Schizosaccharomyces pombe: one gene and its partners. The gene in region 2 interacts genetically with the main gene of each other region. Each region holds a gene or a part of one and is shown on either strand. Other genes may lie near its edges.

Region 1 (4,544 bases), on a different chromosome or scaffold from region 2:
CTAGTATCTAGCAATACTCAATCTCTATCTACCAACTCAGCAATGACATCTTTATATCAAAACGCATCATCAGCAGATAATAATCTTGGCTCCTCTTTACCCAACGTTGTACCATTGAGTAGAGGATTAACACAGTCGAATGAAACGTCTAATACGTTTCCCGCTGCTTCATCTAATATATCTTCTCAGCTTCGTGAACTTCATACCAAAATTGATGAATTACGAGAAACGGTTTCTAACTTTCGTGCTGATTACAATAGTATACGTACATCTTTAAATCAGTTAGAAGCTGCAAGTGGTATTAATGAAAGGATACAAACTACTTCTGCTGATTCACTATTAAATTCCAATGGTATGAGTGGGACTGAAGGATTTGAGAATACGCAGACTTCCATTACAACGAACGACAATCAATCATCGATCTTAACCAGTTCAGATCAAACATCCCCATTTGCAACTGATGAAGATCGACAAAACTCACGAAATGTACAATTAGAAACTGTGGATGAAAATTTTTGAAATTTACTATCAAACTTTTTTGATAATAATGAACGACCTAAAAATAAAGAAGTGATAAGTCATTTACTAATAAATAAATAATTTCTCTTGTATAAACATTTTTCAATCAATAATTAAGCAAACGATTATTGCACTCGTGATAATAATAACATATTTGTAAACAGCAAAAGATTTAGCGACTGCTGATAAAAATTACACAACCATTCACATCACAAGATAGGATAAAACTCAGATTGTTTGAGTTGAAACAAGCCTTCCCGCTAGTTTGTATATTCGAAACTAAACAACGCAAGTGTAGCATCAAAAAGGGAAATCACCAGATACAAGTTCTTCCGGAGGAGTGAGAAAAGGATTATCAGTGCTATTATGAAATTTCGGTAACTCCCCCTTCGCTATATGACTGTTCATATGGACAGAAGGTAATGGCGTAGGCTCAATTTTGTCAATCGCAGATTTGTCAAGTTTCTCATCAGAGAGTAATGGCAAATGATCTTCTTTGTTGTTAGAAGGTGAAGGAACACGATCTTGTTTTTTTTCAGAAGGTGAAGGCACATGATCTTGTATCTTTTCAGAAGGTGAAGGCACATGATTCTGTTTCTTCTCAGCAGGAGAGGAAGGGTCATCGTCATGACTGTGATGATGATGGTGGTGATGATGGTGATGATGATGGCCTTCATGATGCAGGTCCTTATCGCTTTCATGGTTATTATGGTGATTAGTAGATCCTGACTCTGAAGACTTCTTCAAATTAGAGTTAGAGCTTTCATGTGATGTTTCAGATGAGTCGGATGATTTAGGTAGAACCGGGAGGGCAACATCGAGAAGAGGAAGGTGAGATTCTAAGTCAAAAAACACAGTGCCAGTAGGAAAGTCCTCGTCAAAATCGCCGCTTACCCTTGTCCCCAAGGAGTTAATTATATGGTCTAAGCAACGGCTCAACTGCTCCCGAATAGCTGTTACATCTGGCTGAAATGTAGACAAATTCCACATAGAGCTAGTGGGCATCGGTGAATGTAACAAACGCCGAACCAGTTCAAGGGTAAAAGCACAAACGTGTGCTCCACAATCATATCCATTTCTTTGTTGTTGTACGGGCATACACTCTATTGTAAATTTTTTTTTGAAAAGATCCGAAACACGGGCCAAGGCACTGCGACAATCTTTTGTCTTTCCGTTGCTGAGAGAATCATAATAGTAACATTGCCCATCAGGAATACTTGCGACCATTAAAGACCAGTGTGAACCTCCACTTCCTGCCGCATGTTTATCCAAATCATTGATAGGCATAAATAAATATTTGCAGTTCATTAACTTTTTAGGCAAAGCAACTTTGAGCTCTTCAGGAGAAATAGCAGCTTCTGCTAGTAGAAAAACTAACGAAGGGCGAAGCAGCAAAATTTCATTAGCTTGATTTGGGTATGAGGGAAACCATAGGTGCTCAATTAACTCGTCAACATAATCAATACTCACATCAGTGAACCTAGCTTGTATTAATTGAAAGATTCATTTCAGATGCACAAAGTAAAAGTAAAACATGTATCCAAATTTCCTTACCAGTTTGGCTTTTTTAAGCTATCCACGTCTTCCTGCTTAAAACACACATCAAATACTTAATAGCACAAGTTAGTTTTTATTCAGCAAACTTAAACGCTTCTAGACAGAGATTTCACAATATATGTGTAAACTTACATTCAAGAACGGTTGGAGAACTGCTCATTTAAAAATTGTTTAAAAGTAAGTACGAAATGGGGAAAAAAAGGAATTTAAACAAACAATAGGTCCGCAAACAAAACAGCTCGAACGGAAGAGTAACACGAGTGTTAAAATAAAATGTTTATTTTATCGGGTTAAAACAAACAAAAAAATCACGAGAATTGAAAGCGGAACCAGAGACCGGGAATACAGCGTTCCTATACCAAACAGAAGTAAGGCTCAATAAACAAACAGGATTGGACGGCTTAATTAAAATAAAAAAAAACAACTGCAGAGTAGGCGGCAGAAATAAACAAATTGCAACGTGAAGAGAAAGGAACAAATGGAACAGGGATAGCGGAGTAAGCTAAGGACTTTGATCATAGCGGACCTTTACAACAGCCTTAACTTAAACAAGGAACCAAAGCACAATATACCGTAAGCGTTGTAAGCATCGTAAAGTAGAATACCGAATACAAAAGTAGCATGCAATTTCCAAATTCCAAAAACCTTATTGCAAGTCAGATAATCCGAATGTAATAAATGAGAATTTCATGAAACGGCATGTTTTGAGATAAAAACATTAAATAAGAGACAAAGGAGAAATAGCATATACAAGTACAAAATTTAAAGGCCACTTGAAAATTCAGAAACTAGTCGTATCCACATTGACACAGCAGAATGAAATATATATATATACAGACAAAAGGCACCAAGGTAACTTTTCCAAGTTTTAAATAATCAGATTAAATATTTTCAACAGAAAATAAAGATAAATAGATGGAAGCAAAAAAAAATTTGGAGGACCAAACACAGTAGTAAATTTAACCAATTGAGTGAGAAGAGAGTAACCTTCGATCCATTATGGGCCGACGTGGCTGTTCATCTTGTTGATTTTGTTGCGGAGTATGGGAAATGGGAGATTCAATAGAGCATGAAACATCGGTAGGGTTGTAATTCTGCCCATTTTGCCGATACCATGAAAGTAGAAGATCACCGTATGCTTGAAGGTCCTCCAAAGATATAAAAAGATTGAAATCATTAAACACAAAAAAAGATAACTCCAGATGATTTAATTCGTGCAAGGGAATACCACCAACTTTTGCATAGCGACTGTTAGTATAGAAGACATCGCTGAAAAATTTGCTTGCGGCCGTAAACCCAGCGATTAAGAAACGATGAATATTAAAGCTGTTGATAAAGACAGTGAAATGAAAATGATGAACAATTCTGTCAAGGTAAATCAAAACACTTAAAAATACATCGTTAGTTGCAGGACAGTACTTTAAGATTCGTGTTAGATAAGCCTGAATAGATATGGAAGGCACATTTTTTGCAGAAAATATCAAACAAGGGTTCTTTAAACTTGTTGGAGATAATGGTATTTGATCTGATTCAGTAGCTTCCTGCTTGCTATCGTTCAAACGCGTTAGACGCGAGAGAAACACAGATATCATTTCCAAGAGCTTTTCTTGATTAAAAGAAGAAAGCTCCAAGTGTTCTTCATCTTCATCTGTGTTATCTTTTGAGGTTAAAAGCGTAAACGCCAAGGACATAGGACTATTATAAAAATGTTTGGTAAATGGACGAATACGTCTTTACTGTCTGTGACGCCAATCCTAGACTTTAAGTTATTGCGAAATCTTGCGTGTTCTTGTCAACCGGAATACAACGTTGCGTGCACTTATTTAGATCGCTAATTTTTTATGAAGCACTAGTGAAATGTAACAAACTCGACTGTAAACATTGCAGATTAAATCACGAGCGTTTCTTCATAGTACTTTTTCTTGATTCAAGTAGATAGATGAATGTAAAAGGATTAATAAATTAACTTTTTATATCTCAATTTAAAATCCGTATTATTCGCAAGAATCAGTTTAGTTGATTCAAAATCGATTAATTTTTAAAAAAAAGAGTTATGATTCAAATATACAGGAAGCAATACAGTTTTACTAGGAGTCCAGAGCTATTGTTACGAAAATTCTAAGGCTAAATGGGATTTAAATCAAAGTATATAATCGGGTTGGCCTGCGCACCAAGTAGATAATATTTACAAAGACTGTAGTAATATAGCGTTTATATTGAAAGACGGCTGTAATCTGCCAAAAAAAAGAAATCAAAGAAAAAAAGCAAAAGCATTACGATAGTGATTTTCATCTATGTAAAAAGTCAAGTCCTAAAAGCAACGAGATTGGAATTTAAAACGAAAAAGTTTAATGGTTTTAGCTGAGTTTTGTCGTTTTTCTCTAACTATTTAGGGATAAGGGAAGAGAGGATTCAAAAATTTCTTAATAATCCAAATGTATAAATGATGAGATATATAAATCCAAAGT
Region 2 (3,436 bases):
TGTCTCAAAGGAAAAAATGGAAAAACTACGAAATCAGAGAGCGAACCAATGTCTCAGAAGCATCTCAAATATGTTAAAAAATACATAAACAAAGTAAGAATCCTTAAAAAATGAATGTGTATAAATAATGTCAAACATTCATATATAATATATAACACGAGTATTAGTATGCCACACCGCTAAAGGAGATTATGCTTGATAGCCTACATCATTAAAGCCATTTTGCAAGTCGATCTATTAACTCATCAAAAATCTTGTATTACGTGTTTTGTTATTTAAATATTGCGCACAACCTTAGCTTCGGTCAATTTATTATATTAGCTAATAACGCCTTAGTAGGTTGGCTTGGCACGTAAATAAAGTCAATTGAACACATTTTATACATAAATTTTGAGATTTCCAACTGTCTCTTCAATATCCTTGTTGATTTGGCAGTTTTAGAAAAAAAAATTCAGCTTAACGTTTTTATACCATATATTCATTAAGGTCAAGTTTCGTCCACTTTATCGCACCACGAAATTTCCATTTGTACCACCTTCAAATTGCATCAAATAGCCTGATTACTTAGTATTTAAACGCAGTTATTCCACTTTTGATTGTCTATCTGTTCATATTATTCCTCCTTGTCTTTTCGTTTGGATTTTTAACTCACTTCTAGTCTTTTTTTGATAACTGTTGAACAAATTATATCTCTTCTAGCCATCGGACGCTGATTTTCATTCCTTTCTTTTTTTTTACTGTTATTTCGTTCATTTTAGCATTTTTGGCACTATCTCATTTGTTTGCATTTGCGTTTCCTTGTTGAATAGTTTTTTAGTTTAGGGGAACCATGTCTGTCAGTACTAAACGTCTTGAAATGGATGAAGAAGCAGAAGAGGCTTTTGATCTTTTTGACGTGACACACAAAGGGTACATTGACTTTGAAGACCTTCGAAGATCTTGCGCTCAACTAGGGGAAAATTTGACTAAAGAACAGCTTCAGTTGATGCTCGATTTAGCTGGCACTAATGGTAAAGTATCGCGTGAAGAATTTGCCGAATTGTGGATTCATATATCTTGAGATTGTTTATCAATGGAGACAAACTTCATTTTATTTATGGGATTCATTCTCGCACTTTAATGACTTAATGATGATGGACTTAGTGTACTAAAAAAGATTAAACAATATTTCCTCGTGTTTTCTTTTTGTTTTCAAGCCATAGATGCCTGTTTTATATACTTGGTTGTAGGTTACAATTGATGCTAAAGATAAGTGTCACAGCCTGCTTGAACAACAATACTAGAATCTACATTCTTTCGTAAACCTTGATTTATTGATTTTTAGCATCTTCGTGTGTCTCTTTCATGATATATGTTACAAGGGATTGGCGATTGTGTAAATTCAGTGAATAGGATTTCAATGAACTAATACTATATTGTCTGTTTTCATTCATAGTAAAACAAGTTCTCAAAGATACCAGTTACCAAGCAAAATATATTGTCTTTTCGAAATTCAATAAACATACATTTTACAGGCTAGAATTCATGTTTTAAAATGCTTTTAATCAACTAATATGCTTAAGTAAATAAACGAAATTTTTATCTAAAAATATGTCTTTATAGCGAGTTTTACTTGTACTCGAAAAGTTCTCCAACATTTTTTCGTCACATACCACAAATGATTCATTTTCTGTATTTAATGACTACAATTACAAAATTGCAATGAATAATCAACTCGAAAATGTTTTTAGATTTGATGAAGAAAAAGAGAGGGCTAAAATTCGTGAATCGCCGTGGAAACATGAGTAAGTTAAGATTTCATTGGTTTTTAGCTATATTATACCAGTCTCTGAATTTTTTTCCCTACGTTAATTTATTAAAATTATAAATCCTGTAATGCTAACAATAACAGCCCAGAGTTTTTCCGTTCTGTCAAAATCTCAGCAGTAGCTTTGTTGAAAATGTTACGGCATGTATCTCAAGGCATGCCATTAGAGGTAATGGGCTATGTTCAGGGGAAGGTTGAAGGGGCCTCCTTGATTATTTTAGATTCTTTTGCGTTACCAGTTGAAGGTACTGAGACTCGTGTCAATGCACATGAAGAAGCACAAGAATACAGTGTACAATATCATACTCTTTGCAAGTCTGTTTACAGACATGAAAATGTCATAGGATGGTACCATTCACATCCTAACTATGGTTGCTGGCTTTCAGGTGTAGATGTTGAAACTCAGCGCCAAAATCAAAAATATCAGGATCCATTTGTTGCCGTTGTGTTGGACCCGAAGCGATCCTTGGAATCTCCATATGTAAACATTGGAGCATTTCGAACCTATCCTGTCGGTAATGATGGCTCTATCCGCACAAAATCTCGTCATCACCCGTCTGTCTTATTTAAAAATTTACCTTCTTCCAAAATCGAAGATGCCGGAGCCCACGCAGAAGCGTACTACAGTCTCCCTATAACTTACTTTCATTCCAAAGCTGAAAAAAAGGTTACGGAGTTTTTAAGGAATAGAAACTGGTCTAGGTCAATCACCGAGTGTTCTATTTTACAAGTAAGATTCATATTCTAATAAAGTTTCTTAACGAGTCTGCAAGTTTTTCTAACAAGCAATATAGAACAATGAATTTTTACATGACAGCGAAAAATTAATCGATCATCTTATTCATGAAACAGGGAATAATGAATTACCTGTTGCATCTGCCTACGAACAATCCAAAGCTTGTTGTAACGAATTATCTACTTTTCTGTCTCAAATTGATGTCCAAGATAAATTATTTAAAGAATGAATAAATCAACGATTCACTAATATCAGGAAACATGAGATATATAAACGTCGAATCTACTAAGTAATACAGTACAGTTTATTAATGAAAGTCATATTAATATATTTCAGTTAGTTTTTTTTTTATTACCCGTAATCTTTTTTTTTTTATTGAGTAAACATATTCGACTTTTGTAACGCCAAATTCGTAAATCTATTATATCGATGACACACCACTTTAAAAAGTATCAGCAATACTGAACTTCACATATCAGTATGTATGTTTTATCTTAATGCTCATCTTGAAATTAATAAGGTCGTAGACGTTGTAATGTCACTTTCAAAGAAGTTTTTAAAGCCTTCAGTTGCTTCCAACCAACTTCGTTTGCTTTTTACAGCAGCTGGTAAGAAATGTTTAGCTCAGCTAATGCATAAATGAGATTTTACTAAAGAAATTAGAGAGGAAGGTTAATTATCCAGGACATGTTCCTTTATCACCGCTGCAACGTATTTTTTTGGTTGCAGGATCAGCAATCATGGGATTGAAGGCACCATGGAGAGGCGGTATGAAATTTAGGTAGTAAAAACACTTCGGCAAATTCTTTTGACCTTTGCTACAGAAGTTGGTGAAAAGCTATATTTACTTTTTCTGGATTTACTAATGCTAGGAGATATGATATCTGTCCTAG
Region 3 (5,545 bases), on a different chromosome or scaffold from region 2:
TCCCATTAAATTATGTATCAACTCAAACCATGAAGGTTTTCACAATGATTACTTACAAATCTAATTTAGTTTTTGTTATTAATACCCATTTTGTAGGCTTGTAACACTAGAAACGATAATAGTGTATTAGAAAATGGTGCTTCATCAAGGTAATGGGCAATTTTTAATTGCTGTTGTTTCTTACAATAAAGCATGGTTTTTTATCTACTTCTGAAACTTGTCTCAATGTATAGAAATTTTCAAATTTATTGGACATCGGCATTTTCTTCAACATTACTACTTTATATTTGAGGTAAAGAAGAGAGAAGGGGTGAATCGCCTGAATTACACTCACACATCAATTTATCTAATAGACGGTTCAAGCACCACAGAATACTTAATTTATTTAATTTATAACTAAAATAAAAATAAAATACTCAATCTATTTTATTGATTTTTTTTGCAATTGCCCAAACATTGTATAGACAACTAAGCAACATGTTGACTTTTTTTGCTCAGATCAAAAAAAATAAATAAATAAATAAAGGCTTTAGTGCAACGTACACCCACATATACATATTCAATTAAAAGGCATGTTAACAAAACTTCTTATTGAAAACCTTCCTCGGACAATGAATACAACTCGTAAAGTCTATTCAGCCTATTGTAAAGGGAAGGTAAAATAAAACACTGGAAGCAATTCCAAAATTTTCTATTGATCAACTTGTTTGTTCATAAAAATTGTAGCAAGTAAAAGGTGGAAACCTAAAGATGGAAAACATTGCAAAAATCAGTGATTTAGAAATGAAACGCATAAGTAATGACAATACAAAGATAAATAAATATTTAGAAATGATAAAGAAAAGGGACAAATTCTTATCAACAATGGAAAAATGAAAAAAAAAAAGGAAAAACGAGTGACCGGATAAACCAGCAATGTACAGCAACAGCATAAGTGGAATCTTATACCCAGATACCTTTATCTAAAAGGAATAGCAAGTTAAAAAATAAGCAACATTGTGCAAGAAAATAACCAGCAAGCAACATAATAATAATAAGGAACCGAGAACCAAACACATATAATAATAATAATAAAAGACGAGCCTCCATAAATAACACACAAACATCCGTTCATACCTCATCTCTCACGACTATATGAGGATGCAAATGAACATCTAAAGATTTACAATGACAAAACTTGACTCAAAAAAATAACCATCTGAACAATCCGATAAAACTTGTATGCTTGAAACACGGAAATAGCGGCAAAAAATGGATGAAAAAAGCAATGCGATGCAATTCGATGATGAAGCAAAAAATAAATCAGACATCCAAACTTCACTTCAAAGCAAGTTGCATTTTGGGAGACAGAGGAAATTAATGAATCTCAATGGATTGTTGTGTATGTTGTATAGCTGCGGTTTCCGGTCTCGGTACGATTGAGGGTGGTCTCTGAAGTATCGAGGTTGGAAGAACAGAAGTACTAGCGGTCTTTACCTTTATTAATGATGGCCTACGAACTGGTGAGGAGTTGGGCTGTGAATCGAGCTTTGGATTTGGTTCCGAATTGGGATGTGTGAGCGGCAAAGATTCCGACCTTGATTGAGGTTGCGAACTGGGCATAGAAGCTGGCAAAGAATGCGGTTGGGCCGAATCAGAAGTAACAGCGCTTAGCGTAGGTAGCTCTAACAACTCTTCCGTCTTGCATATTTTAGAAAAGATCTTTTTATCTTTTTCAGGATCGGTATGCGTTTCTGAAGGCTTGGGTACCTTGGAGCCATAAGCAGCAAGTAAAGAAGTAATGACCTCCATTAGTGCCTTGCGAAGACGCACACTATCGACAACAGAATGGTCCAAGTTCATGTCCACTTTGGGTACATAAGGCTTTTGCAATAGACGATACATGAGGATACGAGTATTCTCGCAAACATGAAGGCCGCAATCACAATCATTAATTTGTTGTGGAGTCTTCATGTGTCGGACACGGAATTCCTTTTTAAGGAGAATGCCAAGGTTTTTGATGGCAAGGTTGCAGTCATTGGTATTACCATTGGACATGGAGTCATAGTACCAGCCCAAACCTTTTTCAACGGAGACGACTAACAAACTCCAATGCGAGCCGCTCTCGATACCACACTCATTGGTATCGTTGATAGGAAGAAAGATAAACGATGCATCAAACATGGCAGGAGGTAAGGCAGACTCGATTTCCAAAGGATTAGGAGCCTGGGCCAAAAAGAAGACCATAGCAGGACGAAGCAAGTATATTTGTTGACTCTCCTCCTTGGGACGTTTGAGCAAGACTTGACGCAACATAATTTCGTAAAAGAAATCGATGTTTGTATCAAGGATCCAATACCCAGGACGAAAGTGGTCGACGTCGTTTTTGCGAAGGGAAACCTCGAAATATTCAAGCCAGATGCGCGTAAACGGGGAACCGCAAGACTTTGATCCGCTGCTGCTGCTGCCAAACAAGGAACGGAAAAAGCCCTTTTTCTTCTTTTTGGGAGAAGCGGTATCAGAGCCATTAGAATTGGAAGAGCCGGTGGAGGGAGGACGTAAATTGCTAGACTTTTTCACAGCCTCGCTGTCGATTTCCTTTGTGAAAATGGAATTGGAGCGCATTTTTTAAAAGTGGAATATAGGACAGTGGGAGAAAGAGAAAAAGACGAATACAAGTTTTTAGAAACGCGTTTTTTACCAGGCAGGTAATAAGAAAATAAGCACTTTTTTATTTCTAAAGTGAACAATGGGAAAGAACGAGAATTGCAAATGAGAAAGGAAATAAAAGGAGAGTAAAAAATTGAATGAAAAGAAGAAAGAATTGGATAAATAAATATCGAATTCTTTTTTTTTCACAGAGTTAGGAAAAGACAGTATGAACAAATAAAAGGAAAAAGAAAATTAGAAACTAAAAGAGAAAGGTAAAAAAAAAAGGCAAAGCAAAAACAAAAGAAATAGCAAATGGAAAAACTTGTTGTTAACTGGGAAGTTTTCGAATGCAATTGGGCAAGCAAGCAATTAGGAAGCTTGAATTGAATTGGATTGGATTGGATTTGGATCGAGGATAAATGAGTTTGGAGGGATAAAAGATGATGAGATGAAACCAAGGGTTGCAACGGGAAAAAAAAGGAAAAACGATTAACGGAGAGTTGGAGCGCTAAGAAGGAAGAAAAAGGAGATAAAAAAAGCGCAAGGAAGAAATCCGAGAGAATCCAGATGGAATAGAATTGAGAGATAATTTGAGGTAGAGACGAGTCTTAAGTTGGTTACGAATAAAAGTAAAAGAAGACGACGTCGAGAGAAGGAGGAGAAAAAAAGCCTTTAAAAAAGGAGAACGTGCAAAGTAAAAAGTAAAACGGGAAAAGAAAAGCAAATCAAAAGGATGCAGGGAAAGAGAAAGAAGAAAAGAAAAAGGAGGAAAAATGCCAAAAATATGAGAAGGAAAAAACCAATAGAGAAACTTCTATAATATAAAAAAAAACAATTCAACCACCTCACCAAACAATGTGGAGAAAGAAAAAAAGAAAAACAAGGATTAGAATAAAAATGGTGAGAATGAATGTAGTAGAAATTGTATAGAGAGAGAAAGACGAACGAACAGTCAGCAGAACACACTCACACTTGTACACGCACGTACGCATACACTCGCACACTCACACACACACACACCTACAGAGAGTAGAGAAGAGAGTTAAAAAAAAAGTGTGTAGTAGTGAGAAGAGAGGAAATTAAGTGGTGAGTATTGTGTAGAGGAAAGAAGTTTTCTGAGCAATGAAAAAGCAAAAAATGATGAAAGGAGTGTTCAGAAAAGGAGCCGGCAATGACCGTCCAACACGTACTTTTGTGGTTGGCAAAAAGTTGGGGTAAAGGGCAAAAAGACAGACCCAGAATGTGGAGGTGAAGATGGAGATGGGTGGAGAAGACAGGTAACAATAATATGGAAGAATAGTCGACGGCGGGGGGAGGGGGGAGGGATGCCGAGAAGGGGAAGAATGATCAAAAGATGACACCAATATAGCGTAATCTAGTGGACTGGGGAGAGAAGAGATGAAAAGAGGGGAATAGTGAAAAAGAGGGTGGTGTGTTAAAATGAGAAAGATGAGAGAGAGAGAGAGAGAGACATATCGTCTAGTGTAAACAGAGAATAAAATCCAAGTGAAACTATAATGTGTGAAAAGGTTTTTTTAGAAAATTAATTATCAAATAATACTTTCAATGACTTTTCGATACTCAAATATCGCGCATACTCTTTTTATTTCCATCATGTGTCTCTTCTCCATCCCTCTATGTTTTTCTCTCTCTATATTTTTCTTTCTCTCATCTCACTCCTTATCGTTTGCTATCCACTGCTACGCACCGCTTTCCACTTCTTTGCATTGCGGTTGGCCACATAAAGTTGACATGCAATATTTTTTTCCTTGGTCTCGAATTCTCAGGCCGACATGGGTCGGCCGAGCTCTCCTCTCAAAAGGAGGGGTAATTGAAATGCTGGGCGGGGAAGCGGGGATGCTCGGCAAATGATATGCGGTTGTTGTTTAGTGGTAAAAAGGGGGGGGGAAAGGGAATTTTTTGGGTGGGGCGAAAACTAACAAGAATCGCAAGGAAATTTGGACATTGGAATGGAATCGGAGGTGAAAAGAGTTGAATGATGCCAGTGATAGCAAAAGTAAAAAGTAATATATGTTACTATTTGTGTCAAAAAAGATAGAATAGGCTTGGAAAACAAGACAAACATTCCAACACAACTCATCTTTCACCCACCCTTTTTTCATTTCCTTTCCTTTCATTATCAACATTAAACAATCCATTACTTCTTATCCGATTGTGACGAAATGAGGTTGTTGTTTTGTTTGTGTTCTCCCTCTCATCTCTCTTTCGATGATGTAGTTAAAAAATTAGAAAAAGAATAAAAAAAACCTAAACGTTAATCGACGGTTTAAACGAGTGAGACTGGACTTCGCTTCTTTTCTTACGCATTACCAAACTTTGATAATGGTTGCTGTAATCAATGATAGTTGGGTCATCCCCTTTCCCACCAGAATAGAGTTGATTTACCGTTTTCTACGCAGCGCTTCAAATTTCGAATTAAAATTTTTGGTTTGCCACATTATGTTTGTTGCCTGTGGACGTGGATGGGTTACTAGGGAAAATAATAAAGCAAAAACACAAACATTCGTAAAATGCGGAGTCGGTAGATTCGAGGCTTTTGCCTTAAGTTACGTTATGACGTTTAGCAAATGGATAAGGAAATGGAAATGAAGATGAAGATGGAGATGAAGCAAGATGAAGGGAGAAAGGGAGAGGGAGAGGCAAGCATGACAAGTAAAATCTCTTTCTTTTTTTCTTTTTCTTTCTTTTTTCTTTTTTCTTTTTCTTATTTTAAATAATGTAGAGTTAAGCTCTATCTTGTTTTTACTGTAAATGAGTTTGTTGTATGGTAATGAGGGATCGCTATAATGTAATAAAGTTTTGGTTTTGTGTTTCACTAATTTTTAAAGCCGTTGGTTTACTGTTTCACTCTAAATGTGTTTGACTATAACCATTGTAACATAAATAAAAATAA

Evidence for each region. Genes that interact genetically often act in the same process or in processes that back each other up.
Region 1: of csn5 (region 2) and nep1, changing one enhances a phenotype caused by changing the other (phenotypic enhancement), as found in Schizosaccharomyces pombe (one study listed by BioGRID).
Region 3: of csn5 (region 2) and nep2, changing one enhances a phenotype caused by changing the other (phenotypic enhancement), as found in Schizosaccharomyces pombe (one study listed by BioGRID).

The regions. Positions count from the first base shown.
Region 1 is NC_003423.3:3,302,529-3,307,072, reverse strand, and holds nep1 (NEDD8 protease Nep1), read right to left. Parts: upstream 2,539-4,544; 5' UTR 2,237-2,538; coding exon 2,209-2,236; intron 2,129-2,208; coding exon 2,074-2,128; intron 2,000-2,073; coding exon 820-1,999; 3' UTR 520-819; downstream 1-519. Other genes in the region: synviolin family ubiquitin-protein ligase Hrd1, read left to right, coding at 1-519; psl1 (pho85 family cyclin), read right to left, coding at 3,036-3,767. UniProt on the Schizosaccharomyces pombe protein: Protease that catalyzes two essential functions in the NEDD8 pathway: processing of full-length NEDD8 to its mature form and deconjugation of NEDD8 from targeted proteins such as the pcu1, pcu2 and pcu4 cullins and other proteins.
Region 2 is NC_003424.3:925,837-929,272, reverse strand, and holds csn5 (COP9/signalosome complex protease subunit Csn5), read left to right. Parts: upstream 1-1,646; 5' UTR 1,647-1,701; coding exon 1,702-1,784; intron 1,785-1,826; exon of another isoform or gene 1,827-1,891; coding exon 1,892-2,537; intron 2,538-2,601; coding exon 2,602-2,772; 3' UTR 2,773-2,879; downstream 2,880-3,436. Other genes in the region: SPOM_SPAC1687.23C (uncharacterized protein), read left to right, coding at 1-114; SPOM_SPAC1687.14C (calcium-binding protein), read left to right, coding at 830-1,060; ubiquinone biosynthesis protein Coq4, read left to right, coding at 3,028-3,151, 3,207-3,311, 3,416-3,436.
Region 3 is NC_003423.3:1,450,831-1,456,375, forward strand, and holds nep2 (NEDD8 protease Nep2), read right to left. Parts: upstream 3,843-5,545; 5' UTR 2,605-3,842; coding exon 1,357-2,604; 3' UTR 501-1,356; downstream 1-500. Other genes in the region: SPOM_SPBC32H8.01C (uncharacterized protein), read right to left, coding at 57-106, 185-274; SPOM_SPBC32H8.15 (uncharacterized protein), read left to right, coding at 4,198-4,503. UniProt on the Schizosaccharomyces pombe protein: Protease that catalyzes two essential functions in the NEDD8 pathway: processing of full-length NEDD8 to its mature form and deconjugation of NEDD8 from targeted proteins such as the pcu1, pcu2 and pcu4 cullins and other proteins. Has a role in meiosis.